Linked DNA regions of Drosophila melanogaster. The protein of the gene in region 1 purifies or fractionates together with the protein of each later gene. This does not show direct contact. Each region holds a gene or a part of one and is shown in the gene's direction. Other genes may lie near its edges.

Evidence for each region.
Region 2: the proteins of Tsf1 (region 1) and CG31343 purify together in Drosophila melanogaster (affinity purification with mass spectrometry, with the first as the bait; one large-scale study listed by BioGRID). This does not show direct contact.
Region 3: the proteins of Tsf1 (region 1) and PPO1 purify together in Drosophila melanogaster (affinity purification with mass spectrometry, with the first as the bait; one large-scale study listed by BioGRID). This does not show direct contact.

Annotation. Positions count from the first base shown.
Region 1 is NC_004354.4:18,385,476-18,390,858, forward strand, and holds Tsf1 (transferrin 1), read left to right. Parts: upstream 1-1,608; 5' UTR 1,609-2,473; coding exon 2,474-2,573; intron 2,574-2,648; coding exon 2,649-2,891; intron 2,892-3,098; coding exon 3,099-4,194; intron 4,195-4,256; coding exon 4,257-4,641; intron 4,642-4,704; coding exon 4,705-4,806; 3' UTR 4,807-4,869; downstream 4,870-5,383. Other genes in the region: Nt5b (5' nucleotidase B), read right to left, coding at 5,320-5,383.
Region 2 is NT_033777.3:21,743,341-21,749,507, forward strand, and holds CG31343 (uncharacterized protein), read left to right. Parts: upstream 1-1,925; 5' UTR 1,926-1,964; coding exon 1,965-2,515; intron 2,516-2,845; coding exon 2,846-3,001; intron 3,002-3,133; coding exon 3,134-3,847; intron 3,848-4,049; coding exon 4,050-5,277; intron 5,278-5,347; coding exon 5,348-5,584; 3' UTR 5,585-5,663; downstream 5,664-6,167. Other genes in the region: CG5849 (uncharacterized protein), read left to right, coding at 1-647, 708-1,019.
Region 3 is NT_033778.4:17,886,716-17,891,949, reverse strand, and holds PPO1 (prophenoloxidase 1), read left to right. Parts: upstream 1-1,976; 5' UTR 1,977-2,049; coding exon 2,050-2,405; intron 2,406-2,462; coding exon 2,463-2,598; intron 2,599-2,667; coding exon 2,668-3,162; intron 3,163-3,236; coding exon 3,237-3,870; intron 3,871-4,027; coding exon 4,028-4,280; intron 4,281-4,339; coding exon 4,340-4,538; 3' UTR 4,539-4,730; downstream 4,731-5,234.

The DNA of each region.
Region 1 (5,383 bases):
GCATTGCAGTGCTTGCATCTACAGAGCGAGTGCTGTTAAGTTACAGTGTCTTTTTCGCGCCATAACTGCAGTTTGAAATGCTATGTAACTATGTAAATGCATGCCAAAAATGTAAAAAATGAAAAGTGTTATAAACAAATTATTCTACATTAAGTTAAAGCTAATGAATTTTTCATTTCATATATAACACATTTAACAAAATATTATTTTGTTATATACTTTTATTTAAAATAGTAAGTATCACTGTTTCAAAAATGCCATTCGATTTGCAATTTGTACTTAAAATAAGTGAGTAGCAGTGCTTCATTTTTATCGCATACAATTTCCCTGATGAATGCCTTTTCCGTGCGGTTAAATAATGCAACGAAGCTTTTGCGCTGACAAACACACTTTGTGCTGGGCGTAGCTCCATTACCTCCCTTCTATTACCTGGCTGCAGATAGCCTCCGTGCCAGAGGACTGCTGATAAGAGGCCACCTCGGACTACTCGGAAAAATCCCCAACCCATTGCGATCCGGGTAAATTCCCGACCGCTCCGGGGCTCTTGACCTTGCCCAGTGCGAAGTGTGTGTGTTTGCATCTGCGGCACTGCCAAGCAATCTAATTCGGTTTCTGGTTTCGATTCCACTAGAAAGATCCCCGCCCACGCCCACGTCCCAAGTCCCACGGCATTTGCCATTGTGATCTCGTTTTGCACTTCATCATTCAATTGCCGCCCCCGCGACTCATTGCCCAGCCACGCCCCCTCCCTCAAAGGAGGAGGCACGGCCTGCATTTTAAGCAGTTCGTCAATTCTCTGCTGGATGTGGACAGTTCTCCACAGCTCCTCTTCGTTGCTCTTACTGCAACGAGCCGGTGCGGGTGACTAGCTAGGTGATCTGATCCCATCGTGGAACAGGTTCTGTGCCCGGCCTGAATAAACAAATGCCCTGATAGCGGGGCGAAATTGAAGTATATAAAACTAGAGACGAGTGCGAAAGCGAATGTGAGTGATATGCGAATAGCGCATACTCTCACTTTTTGCAGAAGCTTAAATGAGCTCCAAGTTTATCCACTCGAAGTTTATCCCCTGCATTTTTAGGAATATAAAACAATTTCGCATAACATATAAATCTAGATTTTGCTTGCAAATTATCTAAACGCAGTGCAATCATTTAAATTATCATAATAAATACTTGCACTTTTCAAATTGGCCATCTCAAGATCGTAGTTATGCGTCCAATTAAAAATTCAAAAAATATCCCCTCGGAGTGTATAAATAAAAGGCAATTACTCTTAATTTGTTTACTTCCAAGAAGAGTGAATTTAAAGTAGCCGAATCATTAGATGAATGCAAATGCAAATGAATGATGAAAAATGGGCTGGCAAAAACAGAACTAAAATAAGTGACTAAAGTACGTATGCCCCTGGGACTAAGGGCTCGCATGATTAACATCCATGGATTGGGAATGGATGGGGATGGGGTGGTGGCTGGCTCCTCGTCGCTCCCACCGTGGTGACTCAACCGGTTGCTGCAACTACAAGCGACTAGAGAAGATTTTGCCCGTTTATTTGGCAGGGTAGTGAGTTCTTAGAAATTGAAGGCACCAGTGCATTTATATAACTCAATAGGCACAAATAACCAAGTGCCAGTCGGTGCGGTGGCATCAAATTATTCAGGTATATAGTATATGGCTCGATCGATTAGGGGATCAAGTGCCAAGACAATTAAGTGAAGAGCAGCCAGGCCGTTTCTATCTCGATTTTAGCTGTATGTCAGCAACTACGCTTTTTGACAATCGCAATCAAATAGTTAAATAGGCTATTTTTAAAACCTATTCACTGCAATTTTTCCAGCTTAAATGTTCGTAAAGAATGTGCTTAAGAAATTAGTGTGTGTGCCTAAATAAATTCTGTCAAGAGAAAGCGCTGGCTCAATGAATCAATGGCTCAATGGCTCATTGTTTGATTATTGCCAAGATCCAAAACTAATTACCAAACACACAAATGCTGCAGGCTAAATTCTGATTTTGATCGATTATATTGTCGATTATATATACTATATATTGTCTCGAAGACAAGCAAAAAGTCGAACTTAAGGTAGATCATGGATTGAGTAGCATACTAATTGATTTGCGAAAATCGCATTTAATGGCATAGCCATATATCAGTGTCGCAAACTCGTTTGCCGGAGTATATAGGCCTGGATTGCCGCCCACTCACGCCTTTCCTCGGGGAAAAACCGGTCGCCTGGACTGTCTTTCTTTCTTTATTGTTATGATTGCTATTATTATTATTATTACTATTATTATTGGTATTGGTATTGGTATTATTGTGCCTCCTTGTCGCCGGGCAAATAGAAGCGAAAGAGAACAAATACGAGTGCAAAAAAAAAGAGCACGAAAGCCGGGGAAAGAAGCAGCACATCTGGGTGGCTATAAAAGCCACCAGCCGGCTCCGGATTCTCCACAGTCGAGCTTCAACTGTTTCTCAGATGATGTCGCCGCATAAGACCCACACCTGGCTGCCACTGGCGGTGGCCGCCCTCCTGCTGATCCTTGGACCGCAGTCCTCCCTGGCGGAGGAACCCATTTGTATGTGCATCCCGGAGTCACTAGTTGAATGCATCTAACCAGTTGAATCCATTTCATACGAACCCAAAACGGCAGATCGCCTGTGTGTGCCGCAAATCTATTTGGCCGAGTGCCAGCAGCTGCTGGCCGATCCCTCGGAGGCGGGCATCCGCATGGAGTGCGTGGCTGGACGGGATCGAGTGGACTGCCTGGAGCTGATCGAGCAGCGCAAGGCCGATGTGCTGGCCACCGAGCCGGAGGACATGTACATCGCCTATCATCGCAAGAACGAGGACTATCGCGTGATCTCTGAGATCCGAACGCAGCAGGACAAGGATGGTAAGTGGTGCAAATGCTCGTGGGAGCAAAATGCGAAATGCTTTCGAATGAAATTAAAGGGTATTTAAAATGTATAGTACTGACTAATGACTAATGGCCCTTTGTTGTTAATTTGCGATTCGAAGCAAAAGGCTCGAAGGACCAAAATAGTTACTAGTTCCCTTTTTTTTTACTCATAAATCTCCTACTGGTTTCATTTCTCGACAGCCGCCTTCCGTTACGAGGGCATTATCCTGGTGAAGAAGGACTCCCCCATTCGCACCCTGCAGCAGCTGCGTGGCGCCAAGTCCTGCCACACTGGCTTCGGCCGCAACGTCGGCTACAAGATCCCCATCACCAAGCTGAAGAACACGCACGTCCTGAAGGTGTCCGCCGATCCGCAGATCTCCGCTACGGAGCGCGAACTGAAGTCGCTGTCCGAGTTCTTCACGCAGTCGTGCCTGGTGGGCACCTACTCCACGCATCCGGAAACGGATCGCCTGCTGAAGAAGAAGTACGCCAATCTGTGCGCTCTGTGCGAGAAGCCGGAGCAGTGCAACTATCCGGACAAGTTCAGTGGCTATGATGGCGCCATACGCTGCCTGGACAAGGGTCAGGGCGAGGTGGCCTTCTCCAAGGTGCAGTACATCAAAAAGTACTTTGGTCTGCCGGGTGCCGGCCCAGATGCGCCGCCAGCGGAGGGCAATCCGGAGAATTTCGAATATCTGTGCGAGGATGGCACCCGGCGCCCGGTCACCGGACCCGCCTGCTCCTGGGCCCAGCGCCCCTGGAGCGGCTACATCTCCAACGAGCAGGCCGTTCACAACTCGGAGCAGCTGCACCAATTGCAGTCGCGTCTGGAGCGCTTCTTCGCCAATGGACTGCAGGCGCAGAACAAGGACGCCGCCGCCCATCTGCTCATCCAGCCGAATGCCGTGTACCACAGCAAGGATGCTGCCATCGATCCCAAGGTCTATTTGGAGCGTGCCGGCTACAAGGATGTGATCGAGCGTGATGGCAGTGCCATCAGGAAGATCCGCTTGTGCGCCCAGAACGACGACGAGTTCGCCAAATGCCAGGCGCTGCACCAGGCTGCCTACGCCCGCGACGCTCGTCCGGAACTCGAGTGCGTTCAGTCCACCGATTGTGTGGTGGCTCTGACCAAGAAGGAGGCGGATTTGACCATTGTTCGCGCAACTGGCTACGCGGATGCCCGTAGCAACCAGCTGCAGCCAATCGTCTACGAGCAGAGGGCTCAGGATGATGTCCTTGTGGCGGTCGCAGCACCCGGCGTTACACGGGAGGCTCTCCAGAAGGCCAGCATGTAAGTGGAATCCCTCGATCATCCGTAGCACATTAGCTACATATACTATCAATATTCCGCAGCAAATTCAATGAGAATTGCGAACGATCCCGTGCTGCTGCCGCCTTGTTGAACAAGCGACGTGGCCTGGACGCTTGTCGTGTCTCATCCAGCGACGATGGAGAGGTGCAGATCGTGCCCGCCTCCGAGCTGGAGAAGCACAAGGACGCGCAGCTGGTGTGCCCCAGTCTGGAGCGGCGACCGGTCACCGACTTCCGTGACTGCAACGTGGACGTACAGCTGCCCCGTGCCATCTTCATCCGATCGGACACCACCAGCGTGGAGCAGGAGACAGTGAAGCATCTGTTCTCGCTGATCTCGGACAAGTTTGGTGCCCGCGGCAAGCTGGTGGATGTTTTCGCTCTGTTCGGCGAATTCCAGAAGGGCAAGAAGAATGTGTATTTCAACGTAAGTTATCCTCTTTCCTTATTTAAGCTTCGGCGTTTAAAAAGAAAACAACTTTCTCTGCAGGACAAAGCCGTTCAGCTCACCACGGAGCTCAAAAACGAAATCCAGAACGAGCAGATCTACACAGATCTCCAGTGCAATGCTAACAAGATTGCCAAGCAGTGATCACATTTTATACTACTAGATCCCACTATCTGCATCAATAAAATTTAATTCGAATATAAACAGATATCACGTCTTAATGCCTACTTAAGGGAAAATCGAAAAAAAAAGTTTAGACCTATTAAATATGGCTAACTAGTTACCAAATACAATGCTACAAAGTTTCCCAGCCAATTGGCTTTTCACACCACTCATGAATTATTCAAAACGAATTGTTCTCATTCAATTACAGCAATTTATGGTTTTCATTTTTAAAAAAAAAAGACACATTATATGTATGGAACCAGCTAATTTATAATGTATAATGTATATATATATATATCGGTTATGGTATATAGTTTCACATATCTGTGCTTGGGTAAAATCGCCAGGGAAAATCGTACGTTTCATAATTGCTTCGACCACGGTGTGGATTTCGGGTAAGGGTTTGCAAGGCTAATGGGGGCATTGGGGAAGTTTGAGAATAAAATTCGTTGATCCAAACATTCCATTCCAGAAGGGCGGCTGTGGCATCATCTAGTCTTCGGAGGCATCGCGCACAGCCTCTGTGGAAGACTCGGCACCACTGGGTGTCTCCTCC
Region 2 (6,167 bases), on another chromosome or scaffold:
AAGATACGATAGAGTGTCTAACACGAAACTTGCATGGCACCTCCTCCCAGAGCCTCTTCAATGAGTTTGTACGCCGCCTGGTTGGCCCGACTTTTCGACGAGTTTACGTGGAACAAGGTGTAAATTTAGCTGAAGATGGGATGTTCCGTGGGATTCTAGAAATCGCCTGCTCTGCGGATCTTCCCGAGTGCCTGGAATACACACGTCGCCTGGCTAAGGAGCATATAATCGATAAAATTTATTTTAAAGATGGATCAGACTACCATGCCATAATCGATTCCGTGTTATGCATGGGAGTTCGGTATCTAAGCGATCAGGACTTCCAAAGGATAATTGATATGATGCAGGAAATAGATCGAGCTTCGGTATACTATGATGACATTATATATGCCCTCCGGTGCACGCAGAGTCATCGGCATCTGTTATACTATCTGGAAGGTCTGATGGGTGAAAACTCCACCCATATGGTCCTTTCCGAATTCGAAGATTTGATGTATCTCCTCTACATATACAAGTCGAATCTGGCCTCTCGTCCGGTCATCTGGCAGTATATCGAGCGCAACTACAAGGTGCTCTGTCGAGCACCAAACTTTTTAGAGCACTTTAAACAGCTCGCTGGATTTGTGCCCAGACATCAGAGATCACATGTAATGAGTTTATATCTATTTCATATCCTACTCGTTTTGTTCACACATATCTCTTTTCAGTTTGAGAGGCTACGCCAGACAATTGCGAACCACATGATGCAGGAGGGTCTTAATACGAACCAAACGCTGATCGAGGTCGATTCTCCGCTGGTGGGCAAAAAGATGAAAATCACCGAAAATTTCCAGGACAAGTTCGAGCAGCAGATCCACAAATGGCTGCTCAATGAGCTTCCTCAGGCGACCAGCAGAAGTGATGCCCTTTTGTCCGCCTCCCTCAGCGCGGCCAATGGGTCAAGTCGTCCTCAAGGAGTCCTAAAGGAGGCGACTAGGGTGTTGCGCAGTGCGTTACGAATAGTAGATATGTATAGGTGACCAGACATTTGGTCTAACTAGGTATCACATAAGTACAGGCTTAATTACGAATAAATTAATTTTTTTCAAAACAAAACAATCGAGTCAATTCATTCAACAGCCAAGAGCTTTTCAACACATTCTAAATTAACTACAGACGTTATCGATTTGTCTGAAACGCCTCCGTGGGGAATTGATAAGCAAGTATAAAACACAAAAGTCATCGATAATAAAAACCCGATCAAATGACTATAACTTTTTTACGCAAAGACTAGTAATTATTTCTGGGTATTTCTGGCCATTAAAAAGCAATTTGAAAAATTTATAACAATTTTGGACATTCAATAAGTCGTATAAAAATATACAAAACTGAACAAAGCCATTACTTAAGTTTGTTAGTTTTTGTACAATGATTACTGAATATTAAAGCATACAAATTTGATATATTTAAAATGTAGCACCTCGTAAAATTAATTGATACTTATTAGCGTTTTTCACGAGTATTTATGACTGTTTTGATTATAGCACTATAACAACTTGCATTTTTTCGTACTTTCAAATACTTAGTCGTCCCAGACGAAGCCATAATTCAAAAATTTACTGCTCCTAATGATGAAACTAATAATAGGAATTTGATTAACAAAAAAGTAATGTTATCCTGCTTTATTTTGATAAGCGTTACGCTACTGAATAATTAAAATGTTACCGAGGGGATTTTTTACACTATAGAGTACCATCTTCAAAACTCTCGTAGACTAATTGTTTTACAGCCCAATCATACTTCACATTTGACTTGTCCCAGTGCACTCTGGGCCAATAACCGTGGCTTTGCCACGTTTTATCGAGAATTGCGCAACAATCTTTATGGCGATCGATGTTGAGGATTAGATATGGCCAAGTCCATAAAAATGCCGTGTTCAAGCGGCGGCCGCTCAATAACAAAGTGTCTTTTACCGAGCAGCCAACATGGCACGGTGGCTGCTTAACTCGTTTTCGCTGATCCTGCTCCTGGCAGTGTGCAGCCTACAGGCGCGCCTGATCCTTCCCTTATCCCTGGACGATGGACAGCTGGAGACCAAGGGAGCAGCCCTCTTTGCCACCTCCCGCGTGGATGATAATAGTGCCGGCAATTACCGACTGCCAAATACAACGGAACCGGAGTCCTACAACGTGGAACTCTGGACCAATGTCCATAATGGCGATACCGAATTCAATGGCACCGTCAATATCGATATCCGGGTTTTGAACGAGACATCGAATATTACGCTTCACTATCGCCAGACGTCGAATTTTGAAGCGACGATTATCAGCCGGGATGTGGCCACGCCCACGGCAATTCCACTCACTGTAACCCCCGAGTTGCAGCGCGAATTCCTCGTCCTTACGCAGACCACCGCTGGTGAGGCATTTGGAGCCAACACCAACTGGACCATCACCATCAACTACACTGGCATCCACCGATCTGATATGGGCGGTTTCTATATCTCCAGTTATACGGACGATGATGGCGAACAGCAGTAAGTTGATATTTTACGAAGACTATACAAAATAATACCATTATTTTATTATGAGCTTGCACAGCCTTTACCCTTTTACCTTTATAGAAAATTATACTTAGGTTAGCCTTCTAATGGATGAGGGAATAAATTGCAAAAGTACAAAAGCTTATCGTGCTATTAATTACAATTGTACCTGATTGAGTACTTGCGGCTAGTTTCATTTCTTATCAAGAGACACAATTTGGCTTATCTTTATAATCTGTTATTAGTACGATGATACGCGCTTACCAAATAAAGATTAATTATCGGTTTAACTGAGTCGTTAATGTATATAACAATTTCTTTCAGCTTCTTGGCCACCACGCAATTCGAGAGCACAAACGCCCGTCACGCGTTTCCCTGTTACGATGAGCCTGCCCGTAGAGCTAACTTTACGATTACCATCCACCATGATCCCTCCTACACTGCCATCAGCAATATGCCAGTAAACACCGCTGCCACCAGGTATGATTTACGAATATATATACAAGCATAGAGGAAACATTACTCATTCGCAGTGTTGACAATGCTAGATACAATTGCAATCGATACTTTTCATGTAAGAAATGCTAACATACTGACGGTTTCGCCTTCCAGCTCGGGAGTCACTGCTTTCCAGACGACGCCAAAGATGTCCACCTACCTGGTGGCCTTCATCGTCTCCGATTTTGAGTCCACCACCGGAGAACTGAATGGCATCCGCCAGCGGGTTTTCTCGCGCAAGGGAAAGCAGGATCAGCAGGAATGGGCCCTTTGGTCCGGATTGCTTGTGGAGTCCAGTCTGGCTAGCTACTTTGGGGTTCCCTTCGCCCTGCCCAAGCTAGATCAAGCTGGAATACCGGACTTCTCTGCCGGTGCCATGGAGAACTGGGGTCTGGCCACCTATCGTGAGCAGTACATGTGGTGGAACAAGCAGAACTCCACGATCAACCTGAAGACGAACATTGCCAATATTATTGGACACGAGTACGCGCACATGTGGTTCGGCGATTTGGTATCTATCAAATGGTGGACCTATCTGTGGCTCAAGGAGGGCTTTGCTACTCTCTTCTCGTACGAATCGAACGACATTGCTTTCCCACTGTGGGACACCTATCAGATCTTCCACGTGAACGACTACAACAGCGCTCTGCTTAACGACGCCCTGGCCTCGGCCGTTCCCATGACGCACTACGTTCAGACACCATCGGAGATCTCCAACAGGTATAACACCTTCTCGTACGCCAAGCCCGCCAGTGTTCTGTACATGTTCAAGAACGCTTGGACGGACAAGGTATTCCGCACTGGATTGAACAAATACCTGACCAAGAAGTGAGTACCAAGCCATTACTTAAATGACCTAATATATGAACTTCTAATGTATAGAGTATAGAATTTTGATTAATCAAAAGATCTAAAATATTTCAAGAACTTAAAAAGCTAACTTTATGATATACTCGTATATACTGGGCTTAAGAGCCCTCATTTTAATTTGAACAGTAATCTCACATTGGAATTATTTTGTTTCGCTCAGCCAATATACATCTTGCGACGAATGGGATCTATTTGCGTCCTTCCAGGAATCGGCCGACGAGCTGGGCTTTACGCTGCCCGCCAGTGTGGACGACATCTTCAGTAGCTGGTCCCACCAGGCTGGTTATCCCCTGCTCACAGTGACCCGTAATTACAATGCCGGCACTATAACGATCACCCAGAAGCGTTATGTGGCGAACAAAACTGATACAAATAGCGCAACTTGGTATGTGCCACTTAACTTTGCCACTGCCAACAAGTACGATTATCGTGACACGAGCGCCACACATTACTTGCTAAATGTGACGGAGACCGTGATCTCAGATGTCGAGGCTTCCAGCGATGACTGGATAATCGTGAATATCCAGAACTCCGGCTATTACCGCACCCTGTACGATACGCAGAACTATGGTCTAATTACGGCAGCTCTGAAGTCTCAGCCCTGGAGGTTCCATCCTCGTAACAGGGCACAACTGCTGTACGATACGTACATCTTTGTCAGCACCGATCGCCTGAGCCACAGCATCCTGCTGGAGCTGCTGGGTTACCTGACTAATGAGCAGCAGTATGCTCCTTGGTCCACTGCCAACACTATTCTGACCGTCTACGATCGTTACTTGCGTGGCGATGATTCTTACTACAACTTCCAAGATTTCGTGAAGCGCCTGATCGATCCCATCTTCGATAAAATCGGTGTAAACGAGATTCCCGGCGAGCATTATCTGAACAACTATCTGCGCATCGTGCTGGTCAGCTTGGCCTGCCAGGTGGGATCCGATGATTGCTATAACCAGTCGGCCAATAAATTATCCGAGTACCTATACAATGGCACAGCCATTGAGGCCACTCTAAAGACTCAAGCCTACTGTGCTGGTCTCCGATCGACTACCAATGAAATCTATAGCAGAGTGCAGTCCGATTTGCTCAGTTCCTCAGATTCCACCGATCGCAGCCTGTTCATCTCCTCGTTGGGCTGCTCTGGAAGTACGAGCCAGCTGCTTGATTTCTTGAGACTATCCCTGGACACCAACAATAGCTTGAGCTACTCGGAGCGCACTTCCCTTCTAAACTCGGCCTATTCCCGCAGTGAAATCGGTCTTACCGCTAGTTTGGAATTCCTGGAGAGCAACTGGGAGGCATATGCCAACCTTTCAGACTCTGCAAAGCCCCTGGATGCTGCCCTGCGTGGCATTGCCACCTATGTGGTCAGTGAGAAGCAAAAGACGAGGGTACGTTTTTTTTTTTTAATTTATAATTCAAAGCAGACTTTTAATTTACTATTTATTAATTATATGACAGCTTAACGCTTTGGTGGATGTTGTGGAGGCTGATGGACCGAGTTATATCAATGATGATCTGAGCACCACCATTGACTCCAGAATCACATCCAACTTCGCTTGGTTGGAAGTTAATCGTGATCCAGTGCTCAACTGGATCGAGGATTCCTTAAAAGAGAACGGCAGTCCCTCTCTGACCTCATCCATCACCACGATCCTGGTCAGTGCGATGGCTCTGTTGCTATTCAGGCTATATTAAGATAACTCACGTGGTCAAGTATTAAACATAAATTCAGTAAAGTGACGTAAATCAACAATAAAGATTGTGTGCTCATCATAGATCGAAAATAGAACTGATTATACTGTGGAATTTTCGGGCTGAATGGAGTCCCCTGGTGAGAAAAGTTCAAAGTTCCGCGGTTGGGAAACTTAACTGATCGGTTTATAGCTTGGTTGACACACATTTGCATTGGTCAATCTAATCGCGATTCTAGGAATGGCATCGATAAAGCACTGATAGTTGAGCTTAGTACGAAATTCGATTATCAAGTGGATATTTACAATGGCCTGAATGGTTTATGAAGTTCACGTGATCATATCAGATTGTGATTGGCAACTTTCAAGAACAATAAGCCATTTTATGGTTTTCAGTTTCTTAATCAATTTCAATGGTTTTACCATTTATTAGAAGATGTCTAGCTGTTGCATAGTATCGCACATATTGCTTAGTAATTCCGTATGGATTAATGGGCCTTTTCTTATCTCAAGAGCGAACTTGAACAGTCTATTATACCATAATAGTTAACAGGCGTGTATATTTCGCTATCATATCAGCACATATG
Region 3 (5,234 bases), on another chromosome or scaffold:
TACGCTTTCCTTGAGATTAAACCAACAAGACCCACTCAATTTCGACACCCTTTTTCAAACCCTTTCCCTGTTCATGAAAGCCCACCCACATTAATGGAGCTGATAAGTTGCAAACAGATTAGAGCCATGAAACTTTAATCAGTTTGGTGCCCAAGTGGGCAAACAATTGAAAGCGTAGCCCACTCGAAATTTTGATAACACACTGCCGCAAATTCCTGCGGTTGGCCCACAACTAATGAATAGTTTGGAATGTTCTTTGGGGCGGAGGCATCATGTGTTTTCGAACCTGGCCGCAGAGTGCTTAAGCCAAAATGTAAAATTTAAGCCAGCGGGTAATTAACGCATACCCACAGCTCATTTTATGGACCAGACTTTCGCCCATAAAGCCAAACAGAAAGAGTGCTTGGCGCCTTTTACAAACTTGCGTGGTTTTTAAGACTTGTTGGTAAAAGTTTGGGTTTTTTCCTTTTTTTTTGTTCTGTTTCGCCGGTGAAAGCAGGCTCTGCACGTGTCCTGGCCTAAAGCTTTTGCTTTGGCCCATTTTCATTCTAATTCAATTCACACTGCCAAGTTCGCAGAAGCACACACTTTTCCACAATTTATAATTAATTAAAGCAAGTTTGTCTTTTGGGCTGGAATCTGGAGCACATTTGCCATGGCTGTCGTTGAATATTCAATGAAAAATTACATTGCTCGGATAAATGTTTGCGTGCAGTCAAGTGTTTTCTAGGAAAAGCCAACTTCAATATACTCTGCAATATATTACTATATTACATACATAAGTGGTATGCATGGTTTAAAAGAATCTACAAAAAATCGTATAAAATATTCTTGCCTAAGTTATTTCAAACAAAAATTCAATTGATGGTAGTCAAATTTGGCTTACATTGCTTACCGTACATAGTTCATAAACTGAAAAGATGGTGTATCTGCTGGAACATCGACATTAGCAAAACAAAGTCGAGCAGAAAAGTCATTTTCATGTTGTTATGGCCAGAGTGCAGAAATTGTGAAAATTCATCTTTTCAATTTTCGCCCGAAACCCGCACATTTATGCAAACTTGTTACGCTCGTTTTTGTTGCTGTCAATTTCACAGATTAATGCGCACACATTTCAACGCCAAAGTCGGCAGAAACATTTATTATTGACAATGGCCAAAAGTTTGGCCATTCGCTTTGCTTTTTGGCCAACATCGTTCATTTGGCCAGACGGCGTAGCGACAAAAATTGATTTACAGTATAGATATTTTAATCATCCAAGCTCTCTTGCCAGTTAGTTCTTAGTTACATTCAGCTACACACTGCCATTTCAAAAACCAAATTTATGGGCCATGTCGAAGGACGAGCCCTCTGCTCCAAGCCAAATTTATGGCCTCCCATTCGGCGATGGGCGGTTCTTTTTAAGGGGGCGTGGCAGCCTGTTGAGCAAGTATTCGGTGTTATTTCTATGCGAATAAGAAGCTTTTCCGGTGGCCTTCGGCTTGTTTACTTTGGGAGTTGTATTTCGCGTGGTCGCAAAAAGGTTTCTCGGATACTTTTTCGGCAAAGACAAAGAAATTCAATTTAAGCTTCCTACCCCGGAACTAATAACTCTTCAAAAAGTTGAAAACAATTAATTGGTTGTGGGTATACATTAGGCAGTGCAGTATTGAAAAAAAATCAGTATATGTATCTAACAAGCTCAATACAGTTTCACGTTTAACAACATTCAACTGAAAATCAACAATGGTATATTATTTTATGCAAGCAATTAAAAGTATTTCTCTTATCATTTTGCGGCTCAACAACTTTTGCGGTATTGCACTTTTTGCTTTTTCAGAAGCTATCGACTAAACCACAACGTTTGGATTTGTGAGAAAAAAGGCTCGACCATTGCAGTTTTGCGGTTGGGACTTGATAATGAATATTTTTAAAAATATTATTTTTATATTCGGACTGCTAGTTAGCTATAAAATGAGTTCGGCTTCCTGGGAAAATCACAGTTCTGCAACTGGCTTCGTTGAGTGAAGTTAAAAGTGTAGTTGAAAGTGTACATCCATAGAGAAAACCATGACTAACACGGATCTGAAAGCCTTGGAACTTATGTTCCAGCGACCCCTGGAACCGGCATTCACCACTCGTGACTCCGGAAAAACTGTATTGGAACTGCCCGATTCCTTCTATACGGATCGCTATCGCAATGACACCGAGGAGGTGGGCAATCGATTCTCTAAGGACGTGGATCTGAAGATCCCAATTCAGGAGTTGAGCAACGTTCCCAGTCTGGAGTTCACCAAAAAGATTGGTCTCAAGAATCAATTTTCGCTGTTTAACAATCGCCATCGTGAGATCGCCAGCGAGCTGATCACCCTCTTCATGAGCGCACCAAATCTCAGACAATTCGTGTCGCTTTCCGTTTACACCAAGTAAGTACTTGTACTAAAATAAATATATATGTATTGTATAATGTATTAATTTTTTAGGGATCGTGTGAATCCTGTGTTGTTCCAATACGCCTATGCCGTCGCCGTTGCCCATCGCCCGGATACGCGTGAAGTGCCCATTACCAACATTTCCCAGATCTTTCCGAGCAACTTTGTAGAACCTTCCGCCTTCCGGGTTCGTTTAAGTTCTTCTTTATTTGACCAATCAAAGTCTTTAATGGTGTATTTATAAATTTGACCACAGGATGCCCGTCAGGAAGCTTCTGTTATTGGAGAGAGCGGCGCTCGTGTCCATGTGGACATTCCGCAAAACTACACGGCCTCGGATCGCGAGGATGAACAGCGCCTGGCGTACTTCCGTGAGGACATCGGTGTTAATAGCCATCATTGGCACTGGCACTTGGTCTACCCGACCACCGGACCCACGGAGGTGGTCAACAAGGATCGTCGTGGCGAGCTCTTCTACTACATGCACCACCAGATACTCGCGCGCTACAATGTGGAGCGCTTCTGCAACAATCTGAAGAAGGTTCAGCCGCTGAACAATCTGCGTGTGGAGGTTCCCGAGGGCTACTTCCCCAAGATCCTGTCCAGCACGAATAACCGCACCTATCCCGCCCGAGTGACCAACCAAAAGCTGAGGGACGTGGACCGCCATGATGGGCGTGTGGAGATCTCCGATGTGGAGCGCTGGCGTGATCGCGTGCTGGCTGCCATAGATCAAGGATACGTTGAAGATGTGAGTTGGGCCCGTTTGGAATATTGAGCATAGGTCATAGAAAGCACTAGAAATTTTTATTTGCTAATCCATAGTCTTCTGGCAATCGTATACCATTGGACGAAGTTCGTGGCATCGATATCCTGGGCAACATGATTGAGGCATCGCCAGTCCTATCCATCAACTATAATTTCTATGGCAATCTACACAACGAGGGGCACAACATAATCTCCTTTGCCCACGATCCCGATTACCGTCACTTGGAGGAATTCGGTGTGATGGGCGATGTGACCACGGCCATGAGGGATCCAATCTTCTACAGGTGGCACGGATTCATCGACACGGTGTTCAACAAATTCAAGACTCGCCTGAACCCGTACAATGCCGGTGAGCTTAACTTCGATGGTATTACCGTGGACTACATTGAGGCCAAGATTGGCAAGTCCAATACCAAGGCCAACACCCTGTTGACCTACTGGCAGAAGTCGAGTGCCGACTTGGCAGCTGGCCTGGACTTTGGACCAACGACCGATCGCAACATATTCGCCTCGTTCACCCATCTCCAGAATGCCCCCTTCACTTATACATTCAATGTGACCAATAATGGAGCCAGACGAACGGGTACTTGCCGTATCTTCATCTGCCCCAAGGTGGATGAGCGTAATCAGGCTTTGAATCTGGAGGAGCAGCGACTGTTGGCCATCGAAATGGACAAGTTCACAGTTGATTGTGAGTAATAACTGTATTTCTTAGTATATATATTTATTTAATATTTTGGTATTTAAAAAGTGTTTCTTTCGTACAAAGCTAGCCAGTGATTTTAGCTTATACTTTTCCCTACTGACAACCTCCTACGATCTATTAACATACTTTAATTAATCCCCAGTGGTGCCTGGTGAGAACACCATACGCCGCCAGTCGACAGAGTCCTCGGTGGCCATTCCCTTCGAGCGCTCATTCCGCCCGGTTGGAGCAGACTATCAGCCCAAGGCCGCCGATGAGTTGGCACGCTTCAAGTTTTGCGGATGTGGGTGGCCACAGCATCTCCTGCTGCCCAAGGGCAATGCCCAGGGAATGGTCTTCGACCTGTTCGTCATGATTTCCGATTACTCGCAGGACTCCGTTGAGCAGCCCAAAACGTGAGTGCTATAAACCCAATTTCCCATCATCAGCTGACATTCTCCTTGTCGCCCATTAGACCCAACGATGCCTGCAGCACGGCGTACTCGTTCTGTGGTCTGAAGGACAAATTGTATCCTGACAGACGCACCATGGGCTATCCCTTCGATAGGCGCCTGCCCAATGCCAATCTCACCGAATTGGTCGGTGCCTTTGGCAACATGGCCAAGACCGATTTAAGGATTGTCTTCAATGATCGTGTGATTGACAAGGCCTAGATGATTGCTCCAACTAACAGAGATGATTTTAAGAATCAATGGAAACGGACTTGAAAACGGAAAACTCTTGGAATCATATACACTTTTTGCTATTAACTTATAACTAACCAAACTTGTGCGCGTTTATGTGGTGTTTTATCGTTTCTAATTACACTCTACAAAAATAAATGTATTGTAATATGTGCAGGCAGTAATACAAGCGAGTATTGACACCTAATGAATGCAGTGGGTAGATAGCTTTAGCCAAGAAACTTTTGGTAAGCTTATAATGTATCTAATAGTCCCAATTTACCACCCGGGGAGACCAAAGAATTTTACAGATTTTTATTTATTACTTTTTCAAGGCAAAACAGAGATTACTCGTTTTCGTTGGCCTCAAGCAAGCCAGCCATGGATATGATAAATATTTACTGATATAAGAAATCCTCGTCTAGGAATATTCGCATGCCAAATATTTGCTTAGCAATATTGAATATTATTTATAGCAAAGAAATACAGATACACAGCCGCAGAAGGGCGTTTATTTGTCATAGACAGACACGCCCACATTTGTGCGAACTAATCCTATTAGACTTCAAAGCGCCTTGCTCGACAAACTTTGCGATTGCCCATGTCCAGGAGGCCTTGGCGTTCCATCCACCCACCAAGTGTTGAGGGAAAATAGAAAAAACATCCTCGCAAAACAGCCAACAAAAT